4 linked regions of the Drosophila melanogaster genome follow. The protein of the gene in region 3 interacts with the protein of the main gene of each other region in a pairwise test. Each region holds a gene or a part of one and is shown on either strand. Other genes may lie near its edges.

Region 1 (4,887 bases), on a different chromosome or scaffold from region 3:
GAGAAGAAGCCCAAGCCCAAGCAGTGGCTGGAATCTTCGCTAGATGGGCCAGCTGTTATCAGGCAGATGGATTCACAGCCCCACAGTCCAGCTGGGAGTAGTAATGGGAGTAGTAATCCCGGCGCAGCTGCCATGGTTTCAAGTAAACCCCGCGCTAAGCTCTCCTCGCAGTCCATGTCGGTAGCGGGTCGTCACTATTCCATGTCCAACCAGCGACCGACTCCGAATTATCCCAGTGCCAGCTATGCGGTGAATACCAGTTCGAAAGCCCTGCTAAGTCAATCGACTTCGTATCTCAATGCAATGGAGCAAACTTTGGGGATATCGGTATCGTATCCGCTGGAACCTCTGGACATACCAGCACTGCGAAACTTACCACCCAAGCCAAGTCAAATGCAGCAGCCAACGCCGCCGCCCAGACCGCCACCCGCAAATCAGGCTCATACTCAGAACCAGAACCTAAGTCACAGTGGTAATGGCAGTTCAAGCGGACTTGCTCATGGGAATGCTGTCCAAACAGCGCTTGTGTCACCGCCAGTAACAGTGGCCACAGCCAGTTTATCGCCGGAAATTCGCATCGAGTCGCCCAAAAACATGACCGTAGTTCAGCAGGCCACTTTCCAGCCGTACAAGGAAGTGACGAAACCCTTCGAGATGTCCGATTTCTACAAATACTCCACCAAGTTTAAGCAAAAGGAGGGCGGAAATCCTAATTGACCTATAAGGTTGTACGGAATTCTCATGCACTTTCACCTTTTAATGTGATTAACTAAACTAATTTTGTAGCACTGAGAAACTACAAAGCAAAAGCAGCTCAAACTATTGGACTCCTTTCGAATTTTAAGTTCGTTAGCCAAATTATTTAGGATCAAGAAAATAACAATGCTCAAAAGATCTGCCAAATTGAAAACTGACGTATTGAAAGCAATTTATCGAACGACATTCAAATTTTGTATTGAATTTTTAAAGTACAAAAAACACAGGACAATATTATCCCCGAGGGGGACAGAAATCGCCTTACAACAGGATGCCTAGAAAATATGGAAATATTTTATATAGTTAACAGCATTTATAAACAAATAACTGACTAGCTAACTAATAAGTGTATAAAGGATATTTACCCTAATCGAATGATATTTTTATATGAATATACCGATTGGATACTGATATATTCACCGAGTTTTCTTAAGACTAACTACCGACAAGCAATAACAAATAGATAAAAATAAATATTTTATATTAAAATATATGCGAGTGCGTTTTTATTGATATTTAAGCATTCAAATATTTCGTTGAACTTCCAATATTTTTCTCAAAACATTATTAATGCTCTTGTAGCATTTCAGATTTTTTGAATAATTGAAATGAAAAGAAAGCTTTATATTTCCCTAGCCTATAAATAAATGTCTCATTTATACCCATAAATGTGTTCTCACTTCCTTAAATCATTCCTTATCGAATATATCTTGTAGTTCCTTAATCTCTGGTTAAAACTTATTTATAGAACAACCGATAAAACTTAATTACTTTCCTCCCCTTTATCTCTCGGATTTCTCTTTGTTTCTCTCGCGATCTGGTAGTAGTACATTGAATTCTCTCTTTTGGACTCTCCCCAACTCAATGCCACTGCAACAAATTTTGTTTACGATTGATTATTTTTAAACAATCTCTTGTTGTGCTTCACTGAGCATTACAGTATCTGGATGGGGAGAAAAAGAGCGTGGATATCCCCCGATACCCCAAAAATATAAAGACTCTTCGCAATGGATTTGGTTCTCAGTTGCATCGCGCTCGCTATTACGTGCAACTGTTTCAGATCGGTTGCACTATTGGTTTTTTTTTGTTTTTAAGTTTCAAATTTGTCGGTTCTTTCTCCCTCGAGGAGCATTGAAAATCACATAATGATAAATTAAGAGTTCACGCTTTAAGTAGCTAGTTTCCCCCATTGTGTTGTCTTCGTGTTAAACTTTAAATTAAAAAAATATCAAATTTTACGTAAAGTCTCCAACCTAACCTACAAAATTATTCGGTTCGTTGCATTCGTCTGTGTTTGTAAGCAAGTCAACCCGAAAAAATTCTAAAATATAGTGTCATCAAAACCACTACGTAAAAACATCAACAAGAAAATGGATCGCATTTGGGCCACATCTAGAATGCCTATAGATATAGCCAACTGACAGGCGCAAGTGTCAACAAAGGCGGCCAAAAAACAGGGAATAGGCCATAAATTATTTGGTTCAAGTGCAGTCACCATGAATCTGTACACTATATACGATTGGGTAAGCCAAACAATCAGGGGTATCCATTAAAGTATTAACCCATTTGGGAGCCGAACATCCATCATCTGTGCTCTCGGATTGTGCATAAAATCCACAAAATGTGGGTTGAATGCGCCTTGATATGTGTGTTTTCAATTCATTACGATCCACAAACAGAACATGTTGTTTTTCAAGTGTGTTTACAAATGAAATCGAAATTGAATGCGCCTTTGAACTTTCGATTAGAAGACCACAAGGCCCTTCCGAAATCTGTAAACAATCTACAGTGAAAAATACCCAACGGATTAGGAATTTTAAATAATATTTTATTTTTTAAATAAGTATTATATTTTATATCATTGAATAGCATACTTTTTATTATTATAGAGCAACTTTTTAAGTGAAAATTATAATTGAATTGTCCACATTATGCGGTTTTAATTGCTTTGTTAAATAACTAATACATTTATTAGTGAATCTTGGCTACTGTTTCCCTGTTTATTATAAACATCAATATTCATATTTTTGAAAAAATGTCTCGCTACAATAACCGATTCGCTTATCGATTTTGTTGAGGAAAGAATGTTTCTGCAACTTGTTGCTGAATAAATCTAATACATGTACCGCAATACGATGAAAATTTTTGGATAATGTATACGAAAATGATCAAAAATTTTTAATATTCATCGAAATGATTAATGGCTCGAATTTCTTATATTAAATTGTTATTGTATACAAATTTTAAAATAAAATTTGAACTTCAAGTTTTTAAACTTAACTTAAAATGTTTTATGATGATTATAGAATAATTATAAATTACTAACTATAAAAAATGAAATATAACAGTTTTTGAGGGACATTAATTCTGATTATAATACTAATTCTAAGTACTTATATATATAGCTACTTCAGTATCAATCGCAATCGCGAATCGTAAAACAATAGTTCTAAATGCTTTTAAAACTACTCTTTTGCATTTATCACCATCTTCCAAACAAATTTATGTTCCACACACACATTTTGTTTATAAATAAAAAATGGGAGCGAACATTCGGTGCACGGAACCGCTTGGAACCGCGTTGCAAATTTCCGCGGCACTCGCTCTCAATCGCTCGGCCTCTCCCGTGGCTGCTCTTTTCCAACGCTTTTCTTTTGATTTTCCTCGGATTGAGTGACTGATTTCAATTGAATGTCTCTTCGGGCGTTTTATTTATAAAAGAACCTGCACTGCAGGCGGTCGCGTCGTCGTTTTTCGGTTTTCCGCACATTTATAGCTCTATAAAGATAAGAGTGCAGTGTCAGTGCCTGTGATCCCATAAAATTGTTTAAAAAAATCTACGAAACATTTGCATATACGTAGAAGTTTGCACAATGTAACCCTCAATAGCCATTGTCGATATATGGACTTTTTAAGTGATTGTAAATTGCATTTAATTGAGATAACTTCTTCATCGCTGAATTGAATCGAATGAGTGGCGGGCAGCGAAATGGGGAAATTGCATGTGAGTTCAGTTATTGTCCGCAATGTGATCTTTAGCATCGCCCAGTGACATTTGCATCACTCGCCAGCCAAAGTGTGTTAATATCATTCGAAACCGCATGATAATGAACCAAATTAGTGGATTTTTTTTGCATTGCAGTGTACTTAGAGAAAATTATACAGTATTTACCATATTTTCTATAAATTTAGTTACGATACGATCTCATTCTTAATTGTTCTTGAATATTATTTATTAGAATTACTATTTGAAAGAATAATGCTGTAAAAGATTTGGTTTGTAAATCAAATAAAATGCGGGTATAGGATATAAAGCAATTCATCATCTACTTCACAATCATATAAATTGTGTGTTCATATGTAAATTTTTATATAAAATATGAAAATGTTAAATGCAAGCGTTTAAGAATTTATATTAAACTAAACCCTTTAAATGAAATAACCTTTCTTCATAGCAACGCAAAAGAAAATCCTTTCTCCAATCCGAATTTATTTTTGTCCAACATATTTCACTGTCAATTCTGCGCCAGGCAAAGCTATTAATTTAATCATTTTCGCCAATATGCGTGCCATTATTGAGGGTTTATCGACAATATCTTGTGGAAAATCAAAGGAAAGGCGTCAGCGCCATTAACAGAGACGTTGGGCTAGGTCCTTCGCCCCTTTTCCCGTTCCAAAGGGGAGTGGCATTGTTGTTATTAGTCGCCGAAGTGCAAAAACCTCAGACGATCCAACTGAAATGTGTGTCACACCCAAACAACGGCCCACAAAAGAGGTCCAAACTATAGCAACAAATTGAAATGTTTGCAAGGAATGTAAAAGACTTTCGTTTTCGTTTTTCACGCACACTCAAAGAAAATCCGTTGTCATGGTTATAGGTGCAAACTTGTTATCCCGATATCCTTATCGCTGTGCTGGTACTTCCTGAATGTGTTGTTGTTGTCTTTGTCCTGACAAGTTCAAGGACGTTCAAACCACCATGTGGCCGGGAATTGGATAACTTTTTCACAAGCATTTTCCGCTAATATTGTGAAAACTTTGTCAAGCGTTACGGCCTGACCCACATGGCGTATGTGTAATATGGAAAATATATTTTTCAGTCGTTCAAAATACAGTACGGACTTGAATTGT
Region 2 (7,830 bases), on a different chromosome or scaffold from region 3:
GTAGACCGCCAGTGAATCGGATGTTTACTTACAACATGACAAAAGCTACTTACATTCTGGTACCGGACCAGAACTGAAACACCGAGGTCCTCAAAGGATCAGTGGGTTAATCTACTCACTAGTTAGACCATCAAATATATATATTGTTTATAAATTGTGTACATTACTGCAAGTCTATATTCATACAACCGAAATATTGTACTTGAAACTCTAGATAGAAATTTAATAAATAATCGTCGGGTTTATTAAAATATAAATAAGTTTCACACAAATTGGTAATAAAATTGTACATTTAACTTATTGAGTAAATTTTATACAATCTTTTTCGATAGTCATTTTTTGACACAAAATTGCAAAGTAAGTAAAATATAAATAATTGTCATAAAATGGATAATATAATCTAAAACCTAAACAAACGAATTAAAAGTTCGGCGATCATTTTCGGGGCGACTTTCGATGCGTTGTCCTGACACCTGATCCTATTTGACCTGAGGATTGGCGAGTTTGATTTGTACTAAGTTTGCTTTGTTGTTCAAAAGGAATGGGTGGAGTTCCATCTGGATAGTTAACCAGGGAGATGCGACTCTCCCCGGAGAACAGTTGAGAGCCGGTGTTACTCATGGACCCGGCCTTCTCTGGAATGGAGAGGAACGATCCCACTGGTGTGGATGTCTTTTGTCTGTCGTTTGTTGCTCCGGTGGCATGGCTTACACCCACTCCTGGCGTTTGCGTGTTGTTGCTGGGCGAGAGCGAATGTAGGACCGACTTCAGAAAGTGCCCCCTTAAGGACTCATCTGAACTCTCACTGGCAACGTCGTCGTGCACTCGATGTTTGAGGAGCTCTCTCGTAAGGAATTCCCTCAGATTAAGGGATCTTCCTATCTGGCTTGCATCCTGCACAGTGGAATCGTCCTTAGACCTATTGTTGTGCTCGTGGCCTCCACGAAGCCGAGACTTTCGTGGCCGCCGTTCTGGCGACGAGGCTGTGGTACTGCTGCACAACTCATCCACCTGCTGTTGCCTCTCATGCATTGTGGCATGCCAGCACGGACTTCTCTGATCCGCGTCGCTGGAAAAGTTGCTGCCGGAGAGGGGATCTATGCCACTCTCGTTGGGTTGATCGTTGGTCACTGGGGCGACGCTTTCCCGCCGCGTACTGCTAGCCACCTCCTGAGCCGTCAATGTGGTCTCAGTTGCGTTTCCTCGACGAAATGAGTTCTTTAGAATTTTCCGCTGGCGGAGTTCTTCCTCTACGTTAAATGAATCCGTGGAATCATTCTCTAAGCTAGCACTGTCTATTAGATCCCTCTGATCGGGTGGTTGCTTGGCCATAAGTTTTTCAAAGTATTCCCTGCGCTTGGGAAAGTCTTGGATACTATGAGTGATCACGCGCAGCTGTCGCATCAGTTCACCCGGTGACAGAGTGGCCTGATCTGCATCCTGACCTATCTCCACATGGATTCGGGTGCTAGTCATGTTATGAAGATAGGCATTAATGCTAGGAAACTCACGGTAGTCAGTTCCTTGATTGCGTTGCCTGATCGCGAGTATTAAGTCATTAAATTCGCCCTGCAGCCGTTGGCTCTGATCAGCATCCAACCGCGACAGATCTAAGTGCAGTTCCTTGGCATACTGATCGAAACTAGGGAATGGCTTGGGCACCGGTGTGGCGGCCACAATATGTGATTGTCCTGGCGTTTCCACTTCTGTAATGGTCGACAGCTCGTGCGCCAGATCCTCGGCGTTTAGTTGAGGACTATACCGACGAATCGTGGCCGGAGGTGCCCTTACTCGTCCGCGTGCTGTATTATTCTGCGTTGATGACCCAAGCGAGATGGGTTCCACATCGATACAAACCTGACCCTGTGCCGTAATTGGACGTGAGTCCGCAATGCCACTATCCCTGCTGGCCGCTGTCGGCTTGTGCTTCTGCAACGGCAAGGCTTCCGAGGTCGAAGGTGTTTGAGAATCGCTGCGATCGGAAATTGTCCGGCATCTGGTTTGCTGTTGTCCTGTTGGAAGCTCAAGATATTCAGTGGACTGCCGCTCGCCATCGCTGTTCGATGTGAGGGTGACCTCCACCAGTCGCTGCTTCTCCTCGCGCACTTTCGTGATCAGCTCTGTAAGTTCGGCGATCCGCTGGGTGCAGTTCTCCGTGAGCTGTGCATAGCGTTCCATGTTTCGGGCAGATGACTCCTCACTGGTGGATAGTGCTTTCGATTTTTCGGGGGCAAAGCGGTTTGTGCTTTTATCGGCGCCTGAACCTTGTTTTACAGTCTTTTGCTCCCTTTTTTGTTGCACTGCACCGTTTGTTTGCTGCTGCCGGTCCCCTTCTTGAGTTCTACGAATTTTGCCGCTTTCCTGTGGAGGTGCTGCATTTTTCCTATCTCCTTGTGGAGTCGGCCTTTCCCTTGGCATCTTTTCTCTTGTTTGCTCTTTCTCTTTGTTGGTTTGCTGACAATCTTCAGGATTCTTGGCCAAACGCTTGTTCCATATTTGATCGAATGCGCGCATACTTTTCTCTGCATCCAGCGATTGTTGCTCCCTTTGCAGCTGCTGCTGGCAACGTATTGATTCTTCCAAGTCATTGATTAAGCTGCGATTGTCGGCAATAAAGGTTTGCACCCGCTCCATGCGATGCTCGTTCATCTCCGTATTTTCATCCTGATCCCTTTCAGCTCTTCCCGCTTCAGGCTCGGGACAAGGGGTTACGTTTCTCAATGAGTTGATCACCGACGTTGATGGTGTGGTCACACACGAGGAACTCACACCCATCTCATCGATATTTTGGCGTGTCATTCCTAGCAGACGATTTATATATTGAACCACCATGGGATGTAATGGAGCAGAAGGGGGAGCGGCCGTGGTCATATTTTTATAGCTCACTGGCGGCAGACTGCGATAGGCAGTGGAGTTGGAATCAATGGATATCTGACGCTGATCCTGTAAGAATGGTCGCTTTCCGTGATCCTGTTCCGTCGGCTTTGGCTCATCGTCTCTTGGTGTGCTGTCAGTTGAGCCCAGGGGCACATCCTTTTCATTGTCGATAGCCGACGGCTTGGTTTTGGCTTTCGATTTTGTTCTCGGTACATATTGCTTAACAGTACCGTCACTCCTCACCTTAATAATGATCTCAACTGGCCCATCTTCTTTTGCGTTTGATTTTGGCTTATCACTCTCACTGGATTTTGCGTTTTTTGTCTCCTTGTAGAACTTTCTTAGACGCTGCTCGAGAATAGCCTCCTTCTGTTGCAAATCAGATTCTCGTTCGTTTAAAGTTCTCGTTCGCTCGGATAGAATATCAGCTCGCTCCTGACGTATATTATTCAATTCCTGTGCATTGTCACCCTTTGATGCACCTGACTCACCCGCCTTCAGTTCCTCCAACAGCTGGACTCGAATTTTCTCAATGCGCTCAAGCAAACTCTTTAGCCTCATCGATTTCAGTGAGTTTGACTGCTCGGCCTGCAGGTCCGACTTGAGTTGCTTGCTTTGATCATTAACGTAGTCGAGAAGAATGGAGCTGCAGCTCTCCGAGCTGCCAAGATTATCCCGGCCGATTTGAACAGGAGGTTCGCCCAAATTAACTGCCACAGAAGCTTTGGATTTGCTGCGCGATAAGTTTGGAGGAGTAGGTTTGGTGCGCACTTCCGGGCAGGTGATAATGGCTGGTCGAAGCAGCATTTCTTCCATTGCATCGTTCATCTTTTGCTCTCGCCTGGCAGCTGCATCCGCGTACCGATGGCTAGGTATAATGTTAGCCTGGTGGGAAAATGAGTTTGTATTATTTAAAGAGGAAAAATATTTGATTTCCTTACATCGGTTGGCAAGAGCTGCGGTTGCTGTTGCGTTAGAGCATCTAGCTTTTCCGTTAATTCAGCACAATCCCGACGCACTTGCTCGCGTTCAAGAGCCTTTTGACCACGATCGTCACTAATTTTCCTATTGAAATACGTTATTGATTTCAATTTGATTCATTAAGATAAGTTCTGTGTTCTGTTTCTTTTACTGGCTACTACCTCAGTTTGTCCAGTTCCTGTTCCCGCAGATCCCTCAGCTGGTTCTCGATGCGAGCATGATCCATAGCGGTCAATTGGGTGGCATCCTTCTCATTGCACTGCACCGACTGTGTTGGTGCTTCGTACGTTCTATGGTACTTATTGCTATGATCATAGAACTGAACACGCCCACATTGAGTCGTCCTTGGGTCCTGTCGCGAGGACATGGTAATTGTGGTGGTGGACACAGTGGATTGCGTAGCAGTGCTCGGTGGAGCAGTAATAGCGGGACCGAGTACAGCTGGCTGATTCGGCATCATTTGCTGCGGTGCATACATCGGATGAGGTTGTGGAAACTGGGCTTGCACGGGAAATGGCATTGAATATGGCATCGCATATGGTTGCATCGGAAGTTGAGCATACGGATGCATGTATGGTTGATTCTGCGGCATGGGATAACAATGGGTCATCGACGGATTTGGCACAGCTGGCATAGCCTGTTCTGGAATCGGTGGAAGGTTTCGAGGAGGTTCCACTGCTGGTTTCTGTATAGCTGTTACTTTGGGCAGCGTAGCTGGAGCTTTGGCCTTCTGACCTCTGTGTATTCCCGCATCTATCACCTTGGCAGGAGCTGGATTTAATTTTAAACCCGTTCTTTTGACTGATGGCTGGTTACGTGGTGCCGTCACAGTTTTCTTCGGCGATCCTTTAGCTGTTTTAGTGGGTGATTTTCTGGGTGCTGGAGCAGGAACGGGCTCCTCACGCTCTACACATTTTCTGGGCGATCTTGGCGGGGATTTGGTGGGACTAGGCGGGGCAGATACTGGTGGAGTAGGATCTGCTTCCCTTCGTTGACTTGGCCCAGCTCGTACGGTGGTCTCGGTTTTTCTTACCAAATCGCTGATCTGAGTGAATCTCGGCCGGCGTTGGGGTTCATCATCACTGGGTCGCACGACATGGCTGAATTTCCGGTTGGTTTGCATGAACCTATCATTTATATCCATACCCTCGGGATTCTTGTCGGTTTCAGAAATGGTTTCCTCGATTTCTACGTCTAGGATTACGGGGGTAGTTTTTTGGAGACGCCGGTTGCTGCTCGGACTCTCGATGATCAGGATGGATGAGTCGTCATCGGACGATGCGTCATCCTCCTTCTCATCCTCTGCATCGGTGCTGGCACATCCACAGCTGGTTTTCCTTTTGCGCTTGCCCTTGCAACAGGGTTTGTTACACCCGCTCTCCATTCGGTTTTCTTTGTCCTCCACTATGGGCGTTTGTGTTCCCGCCGAGGCACGTCCCTCCGCATTTAAATTCATTGTGTTTGTGGTCCGCAACTCAACGCTGGCTTTAGCCGATCTTTTCAAGGCCTGCTTGCGACACCTTCGGATTTTGTCGATTCTCTCTTGCCTCTGCTGCTCGATGCGTTCGTTCTCCTCCTTTGCGGCGCGATGGGCGGCGCCCACCTGGAAAATGGCCGAACGGTAGTCCTGGTGCTTTTTGACCAAAACATGCTCACGCCACGCATTTAGCTCCCTTTGCTTGACCTGCTCTAATTTGTGGATTTGACGCCTCTTTTCGGCAGCCACATCCTCGCGTATCTGGCGTGCCAGGTGGTTTGACTTCTCCCGCACCTGGTTATAAAATTAAGTGGTCACGCTTTGTGTTACAATTACTGCGCAATGGGCTCGGAACCCAAGGGACAAGTTACCTGCTTCAAACGGGTTATGCGACGCTCACTTTCGAGATCTTTGCGTACTTGCTCTGGATCGTCCAGTGGTCCTATGGTCCTCCTCAGGTTGGCCCCGAACTTTCCATTTACTGTTAGCTGCAGAGCCATCTGCTCTATCGATATATGTAATAAATTCGTATGTGGGGCAGCATTTACGCAGTAGAAATCGAAACAAGTTTGAGCGTAAAATCAAACAACCCAACGTCTTTAAAAATTCCTCCCAAGCGGCAGTGTGACCGTAGATGAATAATTGAATGTACTAGAATTTACATGCGTCTAAAATATACCAGCTGGTAAGTAGCACGCACTCAAGGCACAATACAAATTCGGAAATTAAATGATCGAAAAACTACGTGTTTTTTTTTAAATTATAAAATTTAATGAATGCAATTTGAAAGCTACATGACAATAAACTCAGTTTGAAAACGAAAACATCACAACAGCATGTACACAAGCCTAGATGGCCCAGTTGGGATGTATCGAACTATCGACACCTATCGTTATCGTGCGAAATCAGCTGAAATTGTTTGGATTACGAGATAGTAAATAGAAATATTGAAATTACATTTTTTGGCTGTGAAATCGTAAAATTATGGCGTTCCTACTGCGACAAGTGGCCAGGAGCGGATTGCAAAGGTGAAATAAGCTAGGAAAAATTGCGTGACAAATCCCACAATAAATGCTTGATCTTCCATAGAAATCTAATCCTAATGCGGCATGCAACCGCTTCCACATCCGCGAATCCCGAACTTAGTGTCCAGGTGAGCGAGAGCTGCTTGAAACGGCTCCGTGAGATCTGCGTGGATGGATCTTTCCTGCGTGTGACCGTCGAAGGAGGCGGATGCTCCGGCTTTCAGTACAAATTCGATTTGGATAAGCAGCTGAACGAGGATGACCGACAGTTTGGCGAGGCTGAGGCCAAGGTGGTGATCGATACAGTCTCGCTGGAGTACTGCAGCGGCGCCACCGTGGACTACCATAGCGAACTAATACGCGCCGGTTTCCGGATGGTGGCCAATCCGCTGGCGGAACAGGGCTGCTCCTGCGGCTCCTCCTTCTCAATCAAATTGTAAACTTTAAACTTTAGAGAATTATTTAATACACATAGAATGTTCAGTTATATACACGTCGAGGGTGGACAATAACAAAACAGGGTAGAGGGGGAGCGGGCGTTCCCAGTTAGTTATTTTACAACAATATACAGTAAAGCAGCTGGGCGGGATGCGCGCCGCTGTCCATGCTCATTTGCAGGCGGCCAGCTGGTCACTCAAGCTGATGACCTGCTCCGTCAGCACGCTGATTTGCTCCTCGTAGTTAATACGCGTCGTAGTCTAAGGAAATCCGAGATGTCACTTGGTTCTAAGAGCACAAAACTGCAGGCACAACTCACCAACTCCTCTTCGAGCATTTGCAGGGCTCCACCCAAACTGGCCAACTGATCGTCCTTGGCCTTAAGTTCGTGCGTTGCGTTCTCCAGGCAGTTTTGCAGGTGCTGAACCTCCAGCTCGTAGGATCGCAACTTGGATTCCGCTTGCACTTTCAGTCGCATCAGATCCTCGAACTTCTTGCTGAACACACTGTAGATGAGCTGCTCCTTGGTGGGCGGTTCGGGGGGATCCTGCAGCGAATCCCGCGCCCGCTGGCTGCCTTTCGCCTCCGACTCTGCCGGTCGAACGGTGACGCCCGCCGCCGCCGTGCTGCAGCTGCACGTGCTGAGATCCTTGCTGGGGTTCGAGACAAATGCTTGATGCAGCTTGGCCACTTCGAATTGAGCCCTCCAATGCGCCGCCTCCTTCTCGAGCAGCGCAATGCGATCCTCGGAGGTGAGTTGGTTGCTATTCGACTGCTGCTGGAGATTGTGTAGAGGAGTAGTATCGCTGCCGGTGGCGCTCAGTGCGTCCTCGCTGCCAAGCTGAAAGCACGCGAATCTTTGGGTAAATATTTAAAGAGAGATCTCAATATTACCATGCTGGCCGCATCAACCAGCTTTGTTTCCAGCTCGCTGTTCCTGTGCTGCAGCGTTTCCACCTCCTTCCTGAGTCGCTTCTCCAGTTCGTTCTGATCGCCGATGCGTTTCTCCAGCTTCTGTTCCAACGATGCTAT
Region 3 (4,861 bases):
CCAATTGGTGTGCGGGCTGCCGAAACCACCACAACTTCGGCGATTTTGGAGCTGTAGTTGCGATGGGCGCTCCAGCGACGCGTGGCCTGCAGCAGTCGGGCGGACATCTTGGAATTTAATTAATTTGTATTAACTAGCACAGCAATCACACAGGTAAATGGCAAGAATCCAATCAGAAATCACGCCAGACCTGTTGCTTGCGTAACAAACCGGTAATCGGTCTATCGATAGGCAACAGCTGGCGCGGTAAAAGTGTTGGCAACTGTTAAATAAGATTAAAGCGACTGGTAATTTTCTATTAGTTAGCATTCTTTAAATGTAATTTTTAATTTTTGCTGTTTTAAGTATATTGCTTGAAAACTACGCTGTAAAGATGCAATGCTAAGTTTATATATTCTTTTTACAATACCCAGCACTGAAAATGCGTAAATTGAACTTAACGGTTACAAGCGAACAACAATAAATAAAAACACGAAAATTGAAATTTTAAACACAAATGTATCTCATTTCATCAATATTTATTTTAAGACTAATGCAAATTGCACAATGAATGGCAGCTGAAAAAACTGGAATCTTAATGCTAATAATACGTGTTTAAAATATGGCATTCAAAAAAATTTTTGCATAAAAAAAATGTAAATATTTCGGAACTTATTCCACATCACAACGCTCATAGTCTCCATGGTTGCCATGGCTCCTGGACTGCACATCTTTCCTGATCAATTTGATCAGATCACCATCTGGTCGCGCGTTGTTAGCTTCTGATGGCCAGTGGCCACCACCAAAGACCTCCGCATGCGGTTCCGCTGCAGCGTGGAATTCCGTTCCCTCACCGATTGCCGCAGATGCTGGCGACGTGCTCCTCCGGGTCCAGAACCAACGACTCCACCTCCGCTTGCCTCCCTCTCGGCTGCATTCATGGCCGCCAGCAGCTCGAAGGCTTGTTTCTTCTGCTCCTTTGTCCAGAGATTGGCCACTGGTGGAACTTCTGCCGGCTGTTCCTGCGTGATCGGTGGCTTGACGGCCAAAGGAGGTCGCTGCACGCGAGTTGCAGCTGCTTGGGCTACCTGGTTGACCGATGGCAAGGATTTGGATGTCGCCTTGGATCCGCGACTCAACCCGAAAAGCGAGAGTATAGATTTCCTGCGGGTGGAGGAGGCCTGGCTGTCACCGGAATCATTGCTGGATACGCTCATTTGCATGGGAACGCCAGTGGGCGGAGGATTCACTGCCGGTTTAACCGCCGGTGGGGGCATATTCTCGATACCATAGGTAACAAACTTTTGGGGCGACTTGAAGGTAACCTTACGCAGAGTATTTAGCGATTTTGGTGCCGGAAGTGTGGCTAAATTGAGTTTAGCCACCGTGGGCGACGTCTCGTTGAGTTCGATAGTGCAGTAGGTGTCATCATGGTGCGATTTCGCTGGCTTCCTAGGAGGAATGGGCGGAGCTATCGGCTGTCTGCAACTACAAGTGTGTTTCTCCTGCTGAAGAAGTTTTTCCTGCATCTGCCGCTCCAGCGTTTGCACGCGCTGTTCGGCCAGCTGTAACTCCTGCTCCCGGGTCTGCAGCTCTTCGAGCTTCTGCTGCAACAGGGATTCTTGGGCACGAATGGCGTGGAGACGGGTCTTTAGTACTTCATCGAATATGTTTTGGGTAAGAGCACGAGGACTGCTAGGGGCCTCCTTTAGAAGCTCCTGATCCCTTTTCTGCTGCTCCTGATCCTTTTTACGGCGCCGCTCTTCCGCCAGTTCCACCTGCCTCTCCTCCGCTCGCTCCTCTCTCCTTATACTTTCATAAAGAGAGGGATCCGACAGCTGTAGTTTCTTGGCAGGAAAGATTTTGCGCTTGGCGGAGTAGAAGAGTTCACTTCGCAAATCTGGAGTAAACACACCAGTAACGCTGAGTCTCCTTTGCCCATAGCCTTCATTGAAGCTGTACTGTTCCGTAAACATGGTGCTCGATAGCTCTGGATGAACTCCATCTTCCTCTTCGTCCTCGAAAAGCCTGGCACCCGAAGGCAGTGTGTAGAAATCCTCTCCAGAATCAACTAGAATTGGGAACTTGCCATCCAACTCGCTAATATTACGCACCACCAGAGGATGCCGAATGATAACCTCGATGCCAGGACGCTGTTCATGATCCACTGCCAGCATGAAGGCGATGATCTCCTGCAGATCAGTACTATAGATTGCCGGAATCCGACTGAACTCACCCTGGGCGATCTTCTCGGACAACTGGTCAAAGGCTCTGCCGCGAAACGGCGGTCTTAGGGCACACATCTCGTATACCAAACAACCAACGGCCCAGACATCGCTCTTCCGATCGTATTTCCTGCCCTTCACCAACTCCGGACTCATGTAGTGCGGAGTGCCCACAAAGGAGGCGGCAAAGCTCTGATCTCGTCGCAGCATTCTGGCCAGACCGAAATCTCCCAGTTTGGCATTCCCGGCCGCATCCAGGAAAATATTTGCTGGCTTGATATCGCGATGCAAGATGGTTCCGTTGGGGATTTTGTTGTGGCACACCTGAAGCGCCCGGCAAAGTTGGAAGAGCACCCGCCAGATGTAGGGCTCCTCAAACCGCTGCCTCTGGGATCTCGCTCGCTGGACAATCTGGGCGAGATCGCCGCCGGCACAGCACTCCATAACAATGTACACCGACTTGGCCTCTCGGTTCACCAGATGATGGTAGTATTGCACAATGTTAGGATGCTGGAGCTGCCGCAGAACACTGATTTCCGAAACCAAAGCGTCGCACTTGGCCTCGTCCAGTTCATCGTAGTTCATTCCCTTCCAGGCGAACAATTCACCGGTGCTTTTGTCGCGCACCTTGTAGCAGGTGCCGAAGGATCCATTCCCCATCACGGCCAAAACCTCGTAATCCTGCAGGGTCTTTTGCGAAAAGTCCATGCCGGCAGATTCCTCTCCGCTCATTTTGCCTTAAGTCTTTTTTTTACTCTTTGGGTATTTTGGGTATTCCGCCGCCGATTACAAATGATCCGCTTGCTACAAAACCCAAACACGATTTGAGACTGGTTTTTGGGATGCAGGATTTCTGGAATTCTCATTGCTACCTGCAAGAACGGGAGAGAGAGCAACAACAAGTGCGCGAGAGAGAGGTTTAAGTAGTGCCGCTACCCCGCTAAATAGGGCGGAAGAATGAATATTCTAAAAACAAGCTAGATTTGTAATTTTTACAAAATACATTTTGCAAATATGCAATCTAATGATATAATTACATACATAAACAAATAGCTATTTCATCATTAAATTAAGAAATTGTAATATGGATTAAAATACAAAACTATTTAAAAACCAATATACAAGACAACTACCGATTAAAATTGATAGCAGTCATTTCAACCTGACCTTCATATAAATAACCTCTCCATAAAACCCTTTCGCACCTGCATGCTAATGCCCAATTTGGCTATTTTCCCGCCGAGAGACACCAGCACTGTTATGTTATTGTTGCACGTCTGGATCTCTCGTTTCCTTCCAGGAACAAAGATCGTGCTATTACCCTCTCGCTCCCAACCACAGTTCAACGGTATCCACTTGCAAATCTCTGGCATCTCACCCTCTCGCTCACGCTCTCCCCCGCTGTGAGAGAGAGAAAGCCCTTGAAAGGCGAAAATCTGGAAAATCCGTTCCATTTGATCCCACTGCGCCTGTGTACAAACTACTGACCATTGGAAACAATGGTCTAGAGAGGGGCAGCACGCCCAAGAACACAATTCCAGCGATTCATCACGCTCAATTTTGGAACTCGAGCCCAAAACCGATCTTAAACCGGAATCCAAAACCGAGTACAAACCCCTAGCCCTGAGCCATAAAAATAAATTAGTTTTGTTCCATTGGCATTTCAATTTGCTGCCTTGTTTGTTAAAGTGGAAATGTCCTTATCGGATTTCATATTTCATATTTGAAGTGAGCGATTATCCATTCTGTCTAACGGTTTTTACTGGAAGCAGTTACATAGTACATATAGGCATGGTCGTGCAAATGAAAGTTTTTAGGGGGCTCATGCTTATAAAAGTTTTTTTTTTCTATTAATTCTTAAAAATCTCGATTCACATGTATTAGATAATTCAATGCCATTTAACGAAACTCATTTAAAAAGACTACTCTCGGTTACCACATTTCAAGTGATTTATGTGACATGCTCAAGAAGTTCTACAATAAATAATAAGAGTTTTGGTAGAATACACCAATGCTCTTCTAAAATATCCAGCCTACGCCCCTGATCCGAACTAAGCAGAACTCGCATATCGTGCAGCGATGCCCAGGTAAAATCCTTCGAAAAACGAGTTATCTCCTTGGATTTTTCATTGGTTTTCGGCTTATCGTTAGACGTGTGTTGAGGTTTTTATGTTTTTCCTGAGTAAAACAAACAATGGTACGCAATCCTTCACAAATAAATCACGTTCCCGACCGCAAATCTCGTCCGCTGGCCATGCAGGTAAACTAGACGACAGGCGTATTTCACATTTCTCCGGTTTATTGAATAACAGTGAATTGGGGGAAAAAAAATAATATTTTGGGATGGCGATGTTGGGCAGGCCTACCAGGATGGCGCCTTACCCTCGCTGCCGGCGGGACGGCCGTATAGGGCACTCTTGTCCCGGAACATGGTCATACGTTCCGTTTCCTTCTTGTCCAGGAAGTGGCCAATGGCAAATCCCAGCAGGGGCAACGCGCCCCACAGTGCTCGCTTATCCAGTCCCAAGACCATGGTGTATATTTGTGTATCCTCTTAGCGCTGATCCTTCAGCTGGGCTCGGTGTGCCAACTGGAGCTGCTGGCGTTTCCACTGGCGGGTGTGCGACCAATCTGCGTAAATCGATCCGACTGCAACA
Region 4 (4,841 bases), on a different chromosome or scaffold from region 3:
GCTGTGCTACGCCCTGCGCCAGACGGTGGACCGCAATGGTGAGTGTCTTTCGGCGATTCACAAATTCATAAATCACACTAATTGCCAATTTTGGATGGGGCGGATGCAGGTCACGAGATGTTCTACAAGTGCGGCGACTTCAGTGACGAACAGTTCCGTTCCTTCCGGATCGTGTGCATTCGCCAGGTGGAGAAGGAGATGAATCGTCAGCTCAGCGCAACGGAGAGAGAGTTGCTCCTATTTCCACTGATCTGCGCCGACTCAAAGTGCCGGGAGCATCGCTTTAAACGTCTATCCATGTGCGGTGGATGTGGCGAGGTGGCTTTCTGCAAGGATAAGCCGGAGCACCGAGGCAAGGAGCACGCCAAGTGGTGTGGAGCCTATCAGATTTTCAAGGCCTTCATCATGTTTCAGGAACAGTTCGGCCGCATGGAGCCATCACTGCCCAGTAAGATTCTTAGAGAGCTGCCCATGGCTTGCTCCAACACCAAGCAGATGATGAAGAAGCTAAGCTTTAGTAAGTAAACACGAAGTATTCAAGGATTTTATTATAATGTATTATTATACTGATTTAAAGATGTTACCAATGAGTGTGAGTACGCAGCACTTACCCAGGTGTCCACTGGCCCATTAACTGCCTGGTTTGCCTTGAAACTTTGCGAGCGCCTCAGAAACTGCGAGGAGATGACTCTTCACTTAATTGGAGCCGAGATCGAATTTGAGGCGGATATGCTGCAGAAATGGGAACTCTTCCTGCTCCACATAACGCCAGCGGTGAAAACTCTGAATGTGGTCTTTGTTGGACCTGAACTTAATCCTAATAATATATCCTTTGAACAGCTAAAGAAAATCAAGTGAGTTACACTTTTAGTTAGTAGTTTAAACATTAGTCTAAAGATTATCAATCTATTTAGATGCTGCCGTTTCTGCAGAAAAGCCCAGAGAACGGTTAACTATCATTTTGAGAATAGTTTATATCACGATTACTGCAGAGAATCGCACTTTCTTCAGCCGAATTTGAGTAAGTTAACACTCATTTAAGCGAAACTAATAATAATTATTATACATAAATTCATAGTTTGCTTCTTTAACTGCGGTCTGTACCGATCAACTGGTTTCGCTCTGGAGGATACTTGGCCAGATACCATTCAAGCTGCACTCAATCTCAACTGCCCCATCGTAGTTACTTCCTATACAAAATACGAGGCCCCTTTGGATATGATTCAATTTATTAACCAATCGAATCGACACTTAAATGTCGTAATGCCGCCAACTGTAAATCCGTTTTCCTCGGAAAAGCCAGAACGTAATTTTATATCAGATAATGAAGCGTCTTTTATGTTTAAGAACTTTTACTGTTTTGTTGTTGATTAATCGCAGTCCACACCTTAGTTTTTTTTTAATAAAAAGACAAATATCGAACAATTCTGATTTGGACAAGGTCAATTATTTAGTAAAGCCTGGTACAATTCTAAAAGTTTAAAAAATTTGTATTATAATTTGGTTTTTTAGACATAGCCATAGACACATGAACAATAATAAAATTATTATATTGAAATATTCGGTAACTTCTTTTCGGTTGCAGTACATACCTGGTAAAATCTATGAATTTTCATAAAAAATATAAAATTTTGTTCAGCTTTTATATTTTATTTTGAATGTAACGTTTTTTCTGGGCAATCGATGTTATTTTTCATACTGATTTCGATACATTTGCGTTCGATAATAAAATACTAAAACAAATTTTCGATTGATTTCCTTGCTGAGGTGTGATGGTCACTTTCGATAACCGATATATTTAAGGAAATATCGGTTGAAGTCCGGTTTTGTTTTGATTTGATTGAATAGCATTGTTTTCATTGCGCATTTTCTGAAATTTAGGGCATTTAGGAGAAAACTTGTGATTTTTTTGCTGTTATTAGTGTTTTCCCATGAATATCAACGATGGTGACTTTAAAGACCTCCGCTGCAAACTGGACATCATGGGTTTCACACAGACGCTGCCCGTTTTGGCCATTCCACTGGTTCAGGTAATATTCATACCCTGTAATATTAATTTTTTGGCATAATCCTGTACCTTTTACATTGCAGGCTGTTTTCGGGGACCTAATCAAGACCACAGAATGTTTGAGGGATACCAAGAAAAAGGTGGCCGAGCTGCTGGAGGTGGGTATACCAGTAGAGAGTACAAGACCTTTGGGTTTTCTCGATTATATATGTGTAACTATAATATTATCACAATTTCTTACTGAAGAGATTCAGGTTGGTGCTGTTAAGATAAAAAAGAATTTGTCAATCTAAATATGATTATAATTGTGAGGATCCCATGAGAAACTTCTTTTCAGTATTCTTATTCTATATACGCCAAATATGCTTCATTTTTAAGGGCAGACTATACAATTCAATTGAATCCCTAAAATTAAGCGTGAAATACTTGCAAGGATATTTACACGTTAGCTTTTTAAGCCCACGTTCTTTCTTATATGTTGTGGTTTTTCAATTGGTTGCTAAGCAATCCTTCTGTTGTGGCTTTCCTTTCGGCAGGAAAAGACCTGTTGGGAGCTGGGCGTCGAACCCTACAAGTGTGACAACTCTCGCCTGCTGGCCGAGTGCAATGAACTGCATCTCCAGTTTTTGAGGGACAGGGAGGACTACGAGCTGCGCCTGTGTGGTATGTTGTAATCGATTTTAATTTGATTTTTAACTCTATTGCTGCCTTAAACTTTTTCAGAGTCCGAGCGAAAGATCCGAAATCTGGAGTTGGACAAGCAGCATTTGCAGAGTCACAACGATGGACTTCAAAGGCAACTGGACGCTTTGCTTACCAAGCAAATGGTTTCATCAGTCACGAACAAAAAGGCGACAGCTGGCATTGGACGTCAGAGTAGGTCTAAGAAAGATATTTAACTAGAATTGGATCTCCCTGAGATACTATCTCTATCTGATTCACGTTGGTTTTATTAAAATGTTCTGCTTTCCAGCCAAAAAACCCTTTATAACCACAGTGCGTTCGGGCATTGCGATGCCAACTACACTGGGCACTAGCAGCAGTGCTCTTAAATGCACAAAATGCAATGCTGGGGTATTCCAGAAGACCACCACAACGACCAAAGACGGTGTGACAGTGACGCAAACCAGTGGACAGGAGGAGTTAGACAAGATGCAGAATGATCTTACGGCAGCCGGAGAACAACTGGAGTTCTTCAAGCGCAAAGTGGAGGCCAGAAATCGGGAGATTCGCCGCTTAAACGACATGCTAGCAGGAGGGCGTCCTTTAGCGGCTTTGGCCAAGGATTGCTGTTACAAGGACGTGGGCGCCCTCTCCCAGGACATCGATCTGTTGCAACGCGAGAAGAGCGATTTAATGATGCAAGTTCGAGAATTCCAGGACAAGATGCACGATGCTATGCAGCGGGCTCTAAGCTCCGAAGAGGATAAAATAAAGCTCCAAACGCAGCTGGAGGAGCTCAAGGAAGCTGCGTTGCAAGTGGAACAGCAGGCCAATGCGGAAATCGATGCCAAGGAATCGGAACTTAGGCAACTGCAGTTGGAGCTTAAGAAGAAGGGAAAGGATCACCGACTGACCGGTGGCTTTGCTTCCAATCAAAGTGACAAGCATAATCTTAATGAACGCTTAAATCTTTTGACTCGTCGTGAAGAGGAACTACAGGCCACAAATGAAAAGCATAAGAAGAAAATTCAGAAAATGCAAGCAAAGATATTAGAACTGCAGAAGGAGCTCAAAGATCAGAATAAACATTCCAACGTCACCCTGGATGAAGAGAAAATACGCCTGTCATCAGAGCGGGACTTCTTCCAGAAGGAGTATCTGCGTCTGATGAGCAAGACCGGATCCGAGTCGGAGATCGCCTTCTTGCATGCCCAAATTAAATCTAAGGACGAGGAGTTAAAGGCCCTGCGATCTGAACTGTTTCATGGAGGAAAGCAGCAATTTTCCCCACAAAAAAGTGTGCAGTATGAGACACTGCCGCCCCCCACAGCTTCATCCATTACCTCCACCGTTACTAGCAATACGAGTGACTGCGTCCAGGCGGCCATTGCAAGGGTGGAGCGGGAACGGGATTGCGCCAGGACCGAGCTAGAAAGGGTTCGTTGCGAGCGGGATACGCTGAGGGAGAAGCAACTGAGCACTGTTCAACTTCATGCCGATGAGCTACAGGCTCTGCGCCTGCGAAACGAAGAGCTTAACGATCGCCTGCGGCAAATGGAACGCGATAATCGGGAACTTAACTCGGCTCGTCTGCCAACTGAAACGAATCTGGTGCTGCTTAAGGAGGACTTGTTGCAAATGAGGCAGCGTGTGGCATCTATGCAAACCGAAATTGACCAACTAAAGACCGAAAATGATCAAATAACGTTAGTAACAATGGAATTGCTGCTAAGCTTTCATATCGTTTATAAATTTGTTATTTATTTATTGGCAGCATGCTCAACGATCAAAACGAGCGCATCATAGCGGATTATCAGAGTAAACTTTTGGTGGCCGAGCGTCAACGACAGTCGGCGGATGTTCGGGCCAGCACCTTGGACTCCAGTCGGGAATCCAATCGCAGCGAGGTTACCCAACTCCGCATGGACTTAGGAGCTCTGCGGCAGACCTATATATCGTTAGAACACGAGAAGGATACGCTTCTGGTAACTTCATTTAATAATATATTTTCTAGAGATATTAACAATATTGTTATTTGCTTCACTAGCATCAATTGGATACCAAAACTGAGCGGGTATACAAACTGGAGTATGAGCTAAAGGATTGCAAAGAAAAACGGAATGCCCTAGAGCAGAATGTGAAGGACCTGGAGGATCAATTGCGGTAAGTG

What was found.
Region 1: the proteins of Nek2 (region 3) and Plp interact in a two-hybrid assay, tested with the Drosophila melanogaster proteins (one study listed by BioGRID).
Region 2: the proteins of Nek2 (region 3) and ana1 interact in a two-hybrid assay, tested with the Drosophila melanogaster proteins (one study listed by BioGRID).
Region 4: the proteins of Nek2 (region 3) and Cep135 interact in a two-hybrid assay, tested with the Drosophila melanogaster proteins (one study listed by BioGRID).

What each region holds. Positions count from the first base shown.
Region 1 is NT_037436.4:15,087,184-15,092,070, reverse strand, and holds the start of Plp (Pericentrin-like protein), read left to right. Parts: upstream 1-1,877; 5' UTR 1,878-2,252; coding exon 2,253-2,279; intron 2,280-3,517; exon of another isoform or gene 3,518-3,745; coding exon of another isoform or gene 3,746-3,760; intron 3,761-4,887. Other genes in the region: sstn (stepping stone), read left to right, coding at 1-717.
Region 2 is NT_033777.3:24,528,791-24,536,620, reverse strand, and holds ana1 (anastral spindle 1), read right to left. Parts: upstream 6,046-7,830; 5' UTR 5,836-6,045; coding exon 5,707-5,835; intron 5,630-5,706; coding exon 4,020-5,629; intron 3,943-4,019; coding exon 3,819-3,942; intron 3,763-3,818; coding exon 436-3,762; 3' UTR 226-435; downstream 1-225. Other genes in the region: CG13623 (uncharacterized protein), read left to right, coding at 6,320-6,363, 6,425-6,800; CG6607 (uncharacterized protein), read right to left, coding at 6,969-7,058, 7,118-7,639, 7,693-7,830.
Region 3 is NC_004354.4:7,888,564-7,893,424, forward strand, and holds Nek2 (Nek2), read right to left. Parts: upstream 3,084-4,861; 5' UTR 2,937-3,083; coding exon 729-2,936; 3' UTR 503-728; downstream 1-502. Other genes in the region: Acat1 (Acetyl-CoA acetyltransferase 1), read right to left, coding at 1-107; ND-MNLL (NADH dehydrogenase (ubiquinone) MNLL subunit), read right to left, coding at 4,567-4,737; CG45089 (uncharacterized protein), read right to left, coding at 4,759-4,861.
Region 4 is NT_037436.4:15,114,930-15,119,770, forward strand, and holds the start of Cep135 (centrosomal protein 135kDa), read left to right. Parts: upstream 1-1,807; 5' UTR 1,808-1,931; coding exon 1,932-2,030; intron 2,031-2,091; coding exon 2,092-2,166; intron 2,167-2,544; coding exon 2,545-2,671; intron 2,672-2,731; coding exon 2,732-2,884; intron 2,885-2,981; coding exon 2,982-4,377; intron 4,378-4,445; coding exon 4,446-4,656; intron 4,657-4,718; coding exon 4,719-4,834; intron 4,835-4,841. Other genes in the region: CG13458 (uncharacterized protein), read left to right, coding at 1-38, 110-517, 578-854, 915-1,021, 1,079-1,374.